2 linked regions of the Drosophila melanogaster genome follow. The protein of the gene in region 2 interacts with the protein of the main gene of each other region in a pairwise test. Each region holds a gene or a part of one and is shown on either strand. Other genes may lie near its edges.

Region 1 (2,964 bases), 6.6 Mb from region 2:
GGAGCTGGGCGTGACCTTTTCACATTAATCTCCAGCTTGATGGCGTTTTAATGCAGGAAACTCAACTATAACTATATGGTTATTTATTGTGATGGGTCTGACAGATGTTGTTCCTGATATGGGATATGGTTTGTGGAGAGCCAGAGCCTAACGAACTGGGAAATGGTCTCTGAACATTCAATTATATCATCAATTAGTTGGTCGTGCAACATGTTGCAAGAGTGATTTGGACAGCAGATTAGGCAACAGCATGAGACCACTTGGCATAAACAAGGGTAGGGATTTAGAGGGTTTTTTCATATGTACATCTCTACTAATTTAGATTGATCGCGAGCTGTTATTTTAAATATTTAATGTGAAATATGTGCGTAAAAAAATGTCGATAAAACTCGTAACGAGTTTTATGTTATGATTCTGTGAAATATAAAAAACAGAGCTTTAACTGTTATAACATATAATGAGTTGGGTATTGTAAATATTAAATATTAAACGTATGGCTTTCTTATATTTCTTAATCAACTATTTATTTATTCCGAGTACATTTTATTTTTAATTTGTAATTTAACTTCAGTGACAGGATTTCTTTACAACATTTTTTCACCAGATTCCTACACTTATTTACAAAAACTTAATTTATCCCGTAGTTTATTACGCCCGAAGATACAAGCGAACAAACTAGAGCGAGCTGAAAAATGTTGCCTACTTAGCAGCGCAACGAGTTTTCAATAGAAAGCCCATAAAGTGAAAGACGTCGCAAAAGTCAAAGCCTTGCCACAAGCCAAATGCCAAATGGCATTATCAATAGAGGATTCAGCGAATCCCGGAAGATATAGAAAGCCAAGTGTGTGAATTTAACTTGGTGCAGTCATGAACATGCATTCGCAGCTACAGCTCCATATATACATCTTAGTATGTGTGTAGTGCCATGCCATTTATTCCATTGAACAAAAAGTCATTTGTAAGTGTTTTTATGCGTAACGGAATTTATGAGGAGCAGTTCCTCAGCAGATTTATTGCTTTATTACGATGTGGCAGAGCGATGGGTATCAAGATGGGAATCCAGTTTGGCGACAAAGGCCAGAGAAAAATAAAGAAATGGCTGGCAAATATTTAGCACATGGAGGCGAAAAACTCACTGAAAGAATGATGGCAAAGAGCCATGGGAAAAGGGGAGGGTTAAGGGGAAAATGGCGAGAGAATGAATGCTGCATTTCCTCCCTTTTCGGCTTTTGTCTCTCTTTTTCTGCGTACGGATTTTCCTCGAATGGTGGCGGGCTGTGGGTGGAACGGGTGGACGGAATGGGGTGGACCTTGAGGGCGTTTCACATCGTCGACATCGTCATCAGCATCATTCTCATTGCAGTCGTTAAGTTATAGACTTTGATTTCGTTCGCCTCGTTCAGCTGTGGGGAAACTTTTATCCTCACTGCCACCCAAAGTGCGTCCTTTTTGGCAGAGTCGTTTCAGAGATTTATTTGCCTTGTGCCCTGGCAACTTTCGACTCTCGACATCCATATCCGTATCGTTTGCTCTCCTCGCTCTTAAATTGCTTTAATTGATTTCTGATTTTATGACCCTGCTGAACACATTTCACACATGATTACATGCCAAGTGGGTTGCGATTTCTTAAGAGGTTTTAAATCCGTCTATTCTTAATTTTGAAGATAATTAAAACGTTGGTTTTAAATAAAAAATATAGTTTGATGTGTCGCTTAATTAAAAATGTTTCAACGTTGTGACCATCTACTCATATTTATGGAGTTTGGATTAATACTATTGTTTATTGTATAGAGTTACTATATCAAACATGCTGCTCTCGATTTTGTTGTCAGTATAAATTCTGTCTTTGATCTGTTTGCACTTAAGTCTGTTCTAGTTCACAGCTCCTGAATAACTATTGAAATTTCTGAAATATATTTTTTTTGTCAAAATGTCGGACGACGGATCTGATATATTCCAAGACCTTGAAAGCTACGAGCCCTATACAGAAGGTAGCCAAAACAATAGTGACGAAGCAACTGCAGTGGGGCCTCTCGATACCTCTGAGGACGCTCGCTTCTCCGAGCAGGTATTCTCGAACATTCAGGAGCGTCTGAACCGAATCATTAATCGCATTAGCATGGCCAACTCTGCCGTGGTCCAGATGAAGAGGAAGCTCCATGCTCGAATTCCATCCGTACCTGTTGGCGAAAACGCCGACCAGTTGGCTGGAGGCGATAATCCAATGCGATTTGAAAACGTCGAACAAGAAAACGAAACCACCAACCAATGATATAAGAACATTTTTATATTTCTCATTTTCAAAAATGTATAAATTTATTGTATTTATTTATTGTTATTGTTATTGAAGCCCATTTAACAAATCACAAACAGACCCGAGTTAATTGTTAAAAAATTATGCATTAACACAAGCCAAGGATTCGAAAACTAAGCGCATATAATAAACTGAGCAATGAGCAAAAGCAATACATTGTATACTGCCCTTATCGCCATAATCTAAACTATTTTCAACGATATTTGCAATTTATTAGTGGCCCTCCACACACAATTGCCAAACTTGCTTTCATTCGGTCCACAAACTTTGTGGACTTCTTTTCGGCGCATAATAAACTTTTCATTGACCGCCCTTCAAAAATGTTACCCCAAGCAATTTCGAGCAGCTGCATATTGTCAGGGGGCCTTTTGTTTTGTCGAAAACTTTGCAAAGTCGGAAAATTTGAGACTGAAATTTGCATTTGCCTTTCGCCACATTCACATAGAAAGACGAATTGCCTTGGAGCCAAACAAATATGTTAAAAGCAATAAATAAGAAAGGACATTCTTCAAGTTCGTCGTCTGCCGCTCGAGATATTGGCAAAACGTATTATATGCGATAAATTTCGACAGAAAGCTGAAGTCCGATACTTATCAGTGGAAATGAAGCCAAACATAATTTGCCATAAAATGCCGTTGCAGCGGCATTAA
Region 2 (8,183 bases):
ACCTTTAACCAATAGGTACTCATAAGGGGATACTCGTTTCGCAGGAAATCGTGGCTGCCCTGAACTCGAACTGCAACATTATACCCATCATAGACCAGCAATTCGATTGGCCCGAGGTGGAGCGACTTCCCGAGGACATGCGCAGTGTGGCCCATTTTAACGGTGTTAATTGGATCCACGACTACCAGGACGCATGCATCGATAAGCTCGAAAGGTACATTAAGCGACGCATTTAGATCTGGATTAGCCTGGGACTAGGACGATGGATAACTCCATTACCGATTACCTTAAGCCTGAATAACCCAGAATACTTCACAACTAAACACTTAAACGATTCCCATTCTTCTGATGCGGCAGATTTTTGCGCGGCGAAAAGAATATCGATCGCATTGCGGCGATGGTGCCCGGCACCCCCGGTTCGGTCTCATACCAAAGAATGCACAGCAACGACTCCGACTACCAGAGCGGAGGAGCAGGCGCCGGATCAGGAGCAGGAACTGGAGGAGGAGGTGGTGGCGGCGTTACGGGCAGTGTGGTGGATGGCCTGATGGTGGCGGCCAATGGCAGCGGACAAGGTGGGCCAACGAGTACTACATCTACTACTTCTTCTACTCCCAACTCAAATTCAAGCTCAAGCTCTAACCAGAGTCCCCCAGCGGCTCCAGCGTAGAGTGAGCCAAGTTATGCTAACGATTTACAGAGCTAGCCAACTCGAATATGTTCTAGGCTTAAGCAGAGATCCTCAAGTCACACTCTCTAGTACAACTCTCTCTCACTTTCTACCCCCACCCATACACCTACTACTTTCTCACTCAACTCAAGCAACCCATTACAACTACACTATCCATTACTCTTTACTCTTACCAATTAATAATTGATTTAATTCTGATTGCCACACACTCGAAATCGCTTGAAACGCCGTCTCATGCGCAGCTAATCACCAGGCAAATAGGTACCGCCAATCTCCCTCACCGGCCCGCCAAAGGGGCAGCACCTCGCAGTTGAGTGGTTATTCTCGGGCGCCCTCGAAACGCTCCCAAATCCTCACCCCGTATCGCACCCAACAGGCAGCCCTGCTCCACAAAACCGGAGCGGGTTCCGCGTCCATGCAGAATATGATGCCATTGGCGTATCTGCCTCCGCGGAGGAGTTCCGCCGCGGGATTAGGTCATGGATCTGGTTCCGGCATGGGCAGTGGCTATCGATCGCACAGTGTGGATGGGCTTCTAGATCAGGCGGGCTCAACTCCAGAGCAAAGAATAGCAGCAGCTGCGGCCAAGGTGACAGCGGGTAGTACAGCTCTAACGAACGCCAGTTCCACAAGCACTCTGCAGCCCGAAGAAGAGGTGACGGATGCCGCCCTCAATGACTCGGTGACCCGGCGTGACAAGCATACTTTATCCCCACCGGGAAATGTACAGCAGCACAGAAAGTCCCGAAGTCTGGATCATATTCTCAGCAAACAGACTTTAGCAGAGCTGCTTCCACCGAGTAGCGAACTCGCAGATGGAACGCAAAGTATGCAAAACCTGGCCATTCCAATGACCCCGCAGCCCCAACGAAGGGACACCAGCTCCTCCTCGAAATCCCCCACTCCCGAAAGACCTCCGCAACCAGCGATGGAAAGGGTAAGGGAACGCCAGAGTCCTGAGGGTGTGAGTGCGACGGAAAGCGAGCGGGAGGATCAGCCAGAAGAATGTCTGCGACATGGCAACCAACAGAGGGCATCTGCCTCGGTTCATCGGGGAGCCAGTTTGACCAGCAACAAGACCTCCAACTCCTCACTGGGCTCCAACTTTAGTGCCGGAGGAAACAACAAGACGATATTTAATCGAACGATGAAGAAGGTCCGCTCGCTGATAAAAAAGTAAGCCATAACGAGGAGGCAGAGAGACGAGATGGACCGGGACTCGATGTCCCCACTCGTCGCTCGTCACTCGCTATCTGCTCAATATTACTGTTATCCATCATTTCACGATCTGATTTCACCACTAAGTTTCTTCATCTAAATTTAACTGGTAACGCTTCGGATAAAAGATTTCAGATGTTACTTCGAAAGAAATCAGATTGTGAAAAGGTGCTTCTAGTTACTCGCCAATCGCCCACTAAGTGCCTGTTAACCCGTTTCTCGCCACTCGCTGCATTTGTGCCATCTAAAAAGAATCTCATCCAATCACGCATTCATCCACCCCCTGGGGACCCTTACAACCTTTCTACCTCCACTCGCTGACTCTACTTCTCTTTCTCTGGTGTTGGTACTCGTTCGCTATTTTTACTCGCCACTCGTTGACTCGTTTCGCTAAGCATCCACTAAAACTCGCCTGCGTTGCCCAAAAAATATATACGAACGCCCCTCCCCCGCCAATTTCTATATCTTCAAACTCTATTTGCCTTGTGATTAGTTGTTGATTTTGATAATTATTTTTTTATTGAAAAATAAGTAAGCGAATTTAAATTGCGAAAACTAATTTATGAAAAGAAAAATACAATTAACGACTGCATAAATACGAAACCTAATTTATAGAACACAAAACAGAAACCATCTAATTCTAAACACTACAAGAAACAAAAATATATTGGAGAGCGAAAACACTCTATATTTAAAATGCTATTTATAAATAATATGTTTAAAAATTTGTACATTTTTCGCGAATGCAACATGTTCTTGTAACCGTCCGCAAAACGTAAACTAAAAATTGCAAAATTTAAAATTAACCCGTGTGGCTTAAAACGAAAATATTTACATAAGTGATATTTAAACTACGTATAATCGAAATTTACTTAATGCAAAATTTTTACAACAAAACATGCTGTACAAACCTAATTTTTAGCGCAGGAGTTTTTAAGGCATATTTTTATTGATTTTTGCAATATATATTTAATATTTAAATAGTGCCTAAAGTTAAATACGAAAGCCGAAAAAATCGAAATACATACAAAAAAAAAAGGAAATAAAATGTGACTTAATTCAAACTAAATGTGTATTATTGGCCCTATTTAGCCCTGTTCCCCTGCTTAATCAGTCCATACTATATCATCAATCGCATGTACCGATATTATACGTTTTGTTCAATGTTTGTATTGCGTTCTGCATTTGAATTTGTGTTTGTGCCTTTAATGGAATTCGAAATGTTTTATTTGTATATATCTTATCACTTTTATTTCTTCCCTCTTTCTTTCTCTATATCCGGACTTTTTTGTAGACCATAAAAGCGAAATTGGCTACCGCAATCCGTTGTAACTGTTGTTATCGTTGTGCCTGTTGTACTGCCCCCGCCCACAAAAGCACCCACCCACCAAATCGAATCGATTTCGATTTCGAAAAACCCATCATCGCACACCGTGAGATTAATACGATGCCTACACTCAGCATCCGCCGTCTCGACAACCAACATTCATTGTTATTTATTACCAAGCAAGCAACAAAAAAAAGAAAGAAAGCAATCAAAGCAAATAGCGATACCAATAAACGTGTATATAATTGCATAAATCGAAAGAGTCCTGTCAAACATTTTTTAATTTGTATCTTACCCATACCTCCTCCCACTCGAAACAGCAACGAAATGGAGGACGAGGAACTTTCGGGCATCATTCTGTCCAAGGCCACCTCCCCCAATGCCGGGCGCATGATATTTTGGTAAATGATGGACCATCCCCCACCTGACACACATTCAGTCACACAAACGTATCGAATTTTTGTAAATATTTAATAAAACAAAAAACAAATAAAACGAACGATCTGAAACTCGAAATCATGTTGTTATCTAAACATCTTGAACTTACAAATACAAAAAACTACAATTTGCAAAAGTTCTAAAAAGTTTTTGAACATTATTTAAAGACAGGTTTGTATATAATTTATGAAATTAGCCTAAAATATAGCTTTTAAGACATTCCTTTAAGCAACATAAGCTAATAGCTGCAATCTATAATAGTGATGCTGCGCATATGACTTTCAAAACCGACCAGTGTGTCCACACCAGAAAAGTTGAATTCATACGAAATCAAGCAATATGTGAACTCAATTCAGCCCTGAAATGGAAAGTTTCACATTCCTTTTTCTGTCATTTGCACTACGGCATTGTCAGGGAACGTGTTCATTTGGTACCACATTTTTTCATATATTGGTCATAATCGGTTCCAGTTCATATCGCTTCCGATTTTTTGAAAAATAAAAAGGTACAAATATTCCAATATGTCCGACAATACCGAGAGCAAACTTGCGCTAGACCCGTGCGATGTGATCGTCTTTGAGGGACCATTCAACCGCTCGGTGAGCAGGAAGCTAGTCATCAAGAACACCAGTAAGACCCAGCGAATGGCCTTCAAGATGAAGACCACCACTCCAAAACTTTTTTATGTACGCCCCAACATCGGTGTCTTGGGGCCCGAGCAGAAGGTCAGCGTTGACATATTCATGCAGCCAATTCTGCAGGAGCAGATAAAGAAGCGTCATAAGTTCCTTCTCCTGGCCGCCGAGGTGACTGGTGACATAAGCGATGTGCAGGAGTTTTGGAAGATGCAGAACCCGAATGAAACTCGGGAAACCAAGATCAAATGTGAGCTAGTCCCTTCGAAGGAGGACGATTTCCGTCAGGCGGGAGGTTCAGCTGTAATATCCACGGACAACAAGGACGGAGAGGTCCATTTTGATGCCCAGGAAGTCAGTGAGCCAATGGCCAAGTTGCTCAAGCAAGTCAGCATGCTGGAGGACGAGCATATGGCCCTCACAGACCAGATCGACGGCTTGCGTGACCAGGCGATTGGGCGCACTTTCTTCTACATGGCCGCCATAGTAATCATTATACTGTCCGCTGTCGCAGGCGCCTATTATGGCAAGACTCGTTTGTAAATTCCTTATCATGGCAGTTTTTAGAACATAAGGCAGTAAATTGCACCGAAATTGTACGAAAATTATTTGTCAATAAAGGACATTTTGGTTGCATATTCTATTTTGAGATAGATAATTAGTTTATGCTTGTATACCAATAAATGCGTAAGATGTTATATTCTCACTTTACTAGAAGTAAATAAGTTTAAAATAGGAAATGTCGAATAAAAATAAATTTTTTCAAAACAATTTAAAATGCTTTTTCCTATTTCACTTTATGAAGAGACAAAAAGTAAACTTATTAAAATTTCTGTGAATAACACGTCAAGTTTGATCCAACTTCTACAGGCAAGGCGTATAGGTGTATAGCACTTGCTAAAATTTAGAACTTCTTTTTCAATTCCCGCCAAGACGGGACCACCTGTCTAGGCCAGTGCTGTGAAGCGCGCGTGGCCACAGAGCTCGGCAACCCTGCAGCCGTGCGAAAGCGAATGTGGTGAAGAAAAAAAAAACAGCGAAATACACACGTATTTTGCGACGAAATTAAATAGAATTCCTGCTAAGGGGTATAAGGACACTTGAAGGATGTCTGCGCGAATGCTGAAGAAGCTGCAGGGCGACGCTGACAAGCTGGCGCCACCGCCCGATGACGAGGACTGCGAGGAGCTGAGCGACAATGATGAACTGGAGGACAGCGATATGCAACGCTATCGAAAATCACACCTTAATCCATTCGATTTGGTAGGCCGCTATTAAAAAATAGCCAGCTCATCACCGAATGAACTGCATAATCCTCCGTTCCCACAAATTTTCTAGCTCAATCAAGCCGGTTTGAGTCTCTCGGAGAGTGAGTTCAAAGAAGATGACAATGAAACGGAGCATCCGTCTGCTGCCCTGCCCAATGCTACTGCCAGTGCGGCCAAAAAGAAGAAAAAGAAGCGCAAGAAGAAGGCCAAGTCCAGTGGGAATCACATCAGCAGCGAAGATAACGAGCGTCAGGATAAGTACTTTGAGAAGGTGGATCCGCTCCTTGGCAAGGTCTACGATGCGGTGCCCAGACAGTCGGCGAAACAGTTGGTATCGGCTGCCACCGGGACTACTGCCACCAAGAAACTGCTGGCCGTAGAGCTACGGCACCTGAATCCACAGAACGAGATGCGTCGCACTTTTGGCAAGCGGGTGGTAAAAGTGGAGTAAGTTTGGAGTGCCTGGGCTAAGAACTTCCATTCTGAAACTTAACTCTTGCAATCAAACTTTCTTTCAGAACCAAGCGTGGCAGGCAGAAGCCCACGCTGAAGTCCACCTATATGGTGACCGCCAAGGATTCGTGGCCGGCACTGACTAAAAACACCATCACGATGAAGCTGCTGCCCGCCCCAGACTCTCCATCGGTGTCCTCCAAGTCTATCACAGATAATGGAGCGGACGTTCAATGGTTTGCCTTTGAGCATAGCCAATACTACCAGGGAGTGCAGCAAATGTTCCTTTCTGCTCTCGAGCGCATTGACTCGGAATTTCTGATCACACTTATCAAACGCTGCCCCTATCATGTCGACTCCTTGGTTCAACTCAGCGAAGTATGCAAGATGACCGAAGACTTTTCCTTGGCCTCCGAACTGCTTGAGCGCGCCCTTCTCCTTCTGGAATCGTCGCTGCACATCAACTTCAGTTTGACGTCGGGCAACTGCCGACTGGACTACCGGAGACAGGAAAACCGATCCTTCTACATCGTGCTGTTCAAGCACGCGCAGTACCTGGAGGAACGAGCTTGCAGCCGCACCGCCTTCGAGATCTCCAAACTGCTCCTGAGTCTTCAGCCAGACACAGATCCTCTTGCCATGATTCTAGTGATTGACTACTATGCCTTGCGCAGCAAGCAGTTTGAATGGTTGGTAGAGTTCTATGAAAAGTATAACGCCGCGAGGAACCTCAATCAGCTGCCCAATATGGCCTACTCGTATGCTTTGGCTCTACACACGCTCTATGGCGCTTGTGAACGCTCTAACCAGGCACTGCAATACGCCCTACTAATGTTCCCGGGTGTTTTACGTCCTCTTTTGGACGAGATGTCGGTGCAAACGGACAAGAGGGTCCTGGCCTCATCGTACTTCTTTGCAGATGTGTCGGGCAAGTAAGTGGAGTCTTATCTCCGTGAATGATTAGTGGTATGGAATTTAATGTCTTATCTTGTTTACCAGTCAATCGCCCGCCCTGCACCAGCTGGTGTGCCTGTATGTGTGCCGTGCAAGAGTCGTTTGGCGTCAGAACGAGGTGCTACCCTGGTTGGAATCCAACGTGAACATAGTGTTAGATCGCATTGAGAGTAAGGATCCCCTGGTTAATGAGTACAAGGAGAAGCGATCACTGCGATATAGTGGAACACCACCAAGGCCCATTCTTCGACATGTCATACTCTCCGATTACAAGGAGAAAGTTCCACTGGCGGTCTTCGTGTCCAAGGAGAAGCAAGCCATTATGACCTATGATCCACTGCCGCCACCGAACAGCGTCAACTGCTATCATCGGTATGTCGTTCGAATCGGCTCAAAGTTAGTAAATTCTAAAAACCAGTACTTGCAGAAAATCTTCGTCAAGCAGCAGCCCCACAACGAACACGAACAATTCTGTGTCAATGTTCTTTCAATCGCTCTTGCCTTCGTTTAACATTAACAACCTAGCTGCAAATGCTCAGCTACAAGAAGGAGCAGCACCAGCAGCAGGTGCGGGAGCAGCTGCAGGCGATGCTAACATTGAAGTGGGCATTGAACAAGGAGCTGCCGGCGTAGCTGGCGAAGGAGAAGGTTCGTATGAGCATTATTAAAAATATCTTGAGATAAAACCGATTTTGTCGCCCCCGTTTCGTCACAGAGCATGAATCTTAGAATATGTTTCGCTGGTTGTATTATGGCTTTGCTTAATTTCGTTCATATCCCGAAATTGTATTAAAGCTTTGGCTTTTGTTTCAATAACTTGGCTAAAAGCGATATTTTGTTTCTCATTCTTAAAATCGTCAAAAATCTAACCTAAAATTATGCTGAAATTCCAAAAGAATCGCTAGCGGATATCGTAGTTACACTTCTCCTCCAACATTATTGCAGAAGCTGGTTTGCAGCAGTCATTAACGCTAATGATGGACGCGATGCGAGACTTCCTGCAAAACTTCCGGATTGCAGAGCACTTGCGTTCGCCGGAAACGGCGGCGGCACAATCCACGAGCAGCAACGACGAGGAGGAGGGCTCCAGTGACTACATTGACTAGTCAGTTTGTCAATTACGCGAGGCGTAACGAAGTTGTTTCGGATTTCTAGCTCGGGACATGTTTTTTGGAAACCACCTTTTGCTATTTTCTCAG

What was found.
Region 1: the proteins of fan (region 2) and gdrd interact in a two-hybrid assay, tested with the Drosophila melanogaster proteins (one large-scale study listed by BioGRID).

Annotation. Positions count from the first base shown.
Region 1 is NT_037436.4:14,689,499-14,692,462, forward strand, and holds gdrd (goddard), read left to right. Parts: upstream 1-1,848; 5' UTR 1,849-1,930; coding exon 1,931-2,272; 3' UTR 2,273-2,464; downstream 2,465-2,964.
Region 2 is NT_037436.4:8,105,083-8,113,265, forward strand, and holds fan (farinelli), read left to right. Parts: upstream 1-4,049; 5' UTR 4,050-4,195; coding exon 4,196-4,852; 3' UTR 4,853-4,961; downstream 4,962-8,183. Other genes in the region: Sarm (sterile alpha and armadillo motif), read left to right, coding at 45-214, 358-575, 934-1,867, 3,557-3,641; Nulp1 (nuclear localized protein 1), read left to right, coding at 5,417-5,572, 5,648-6,024, 6,096-6,962, 7,030-7,356, 7,412-7,632, 7,930-8,090.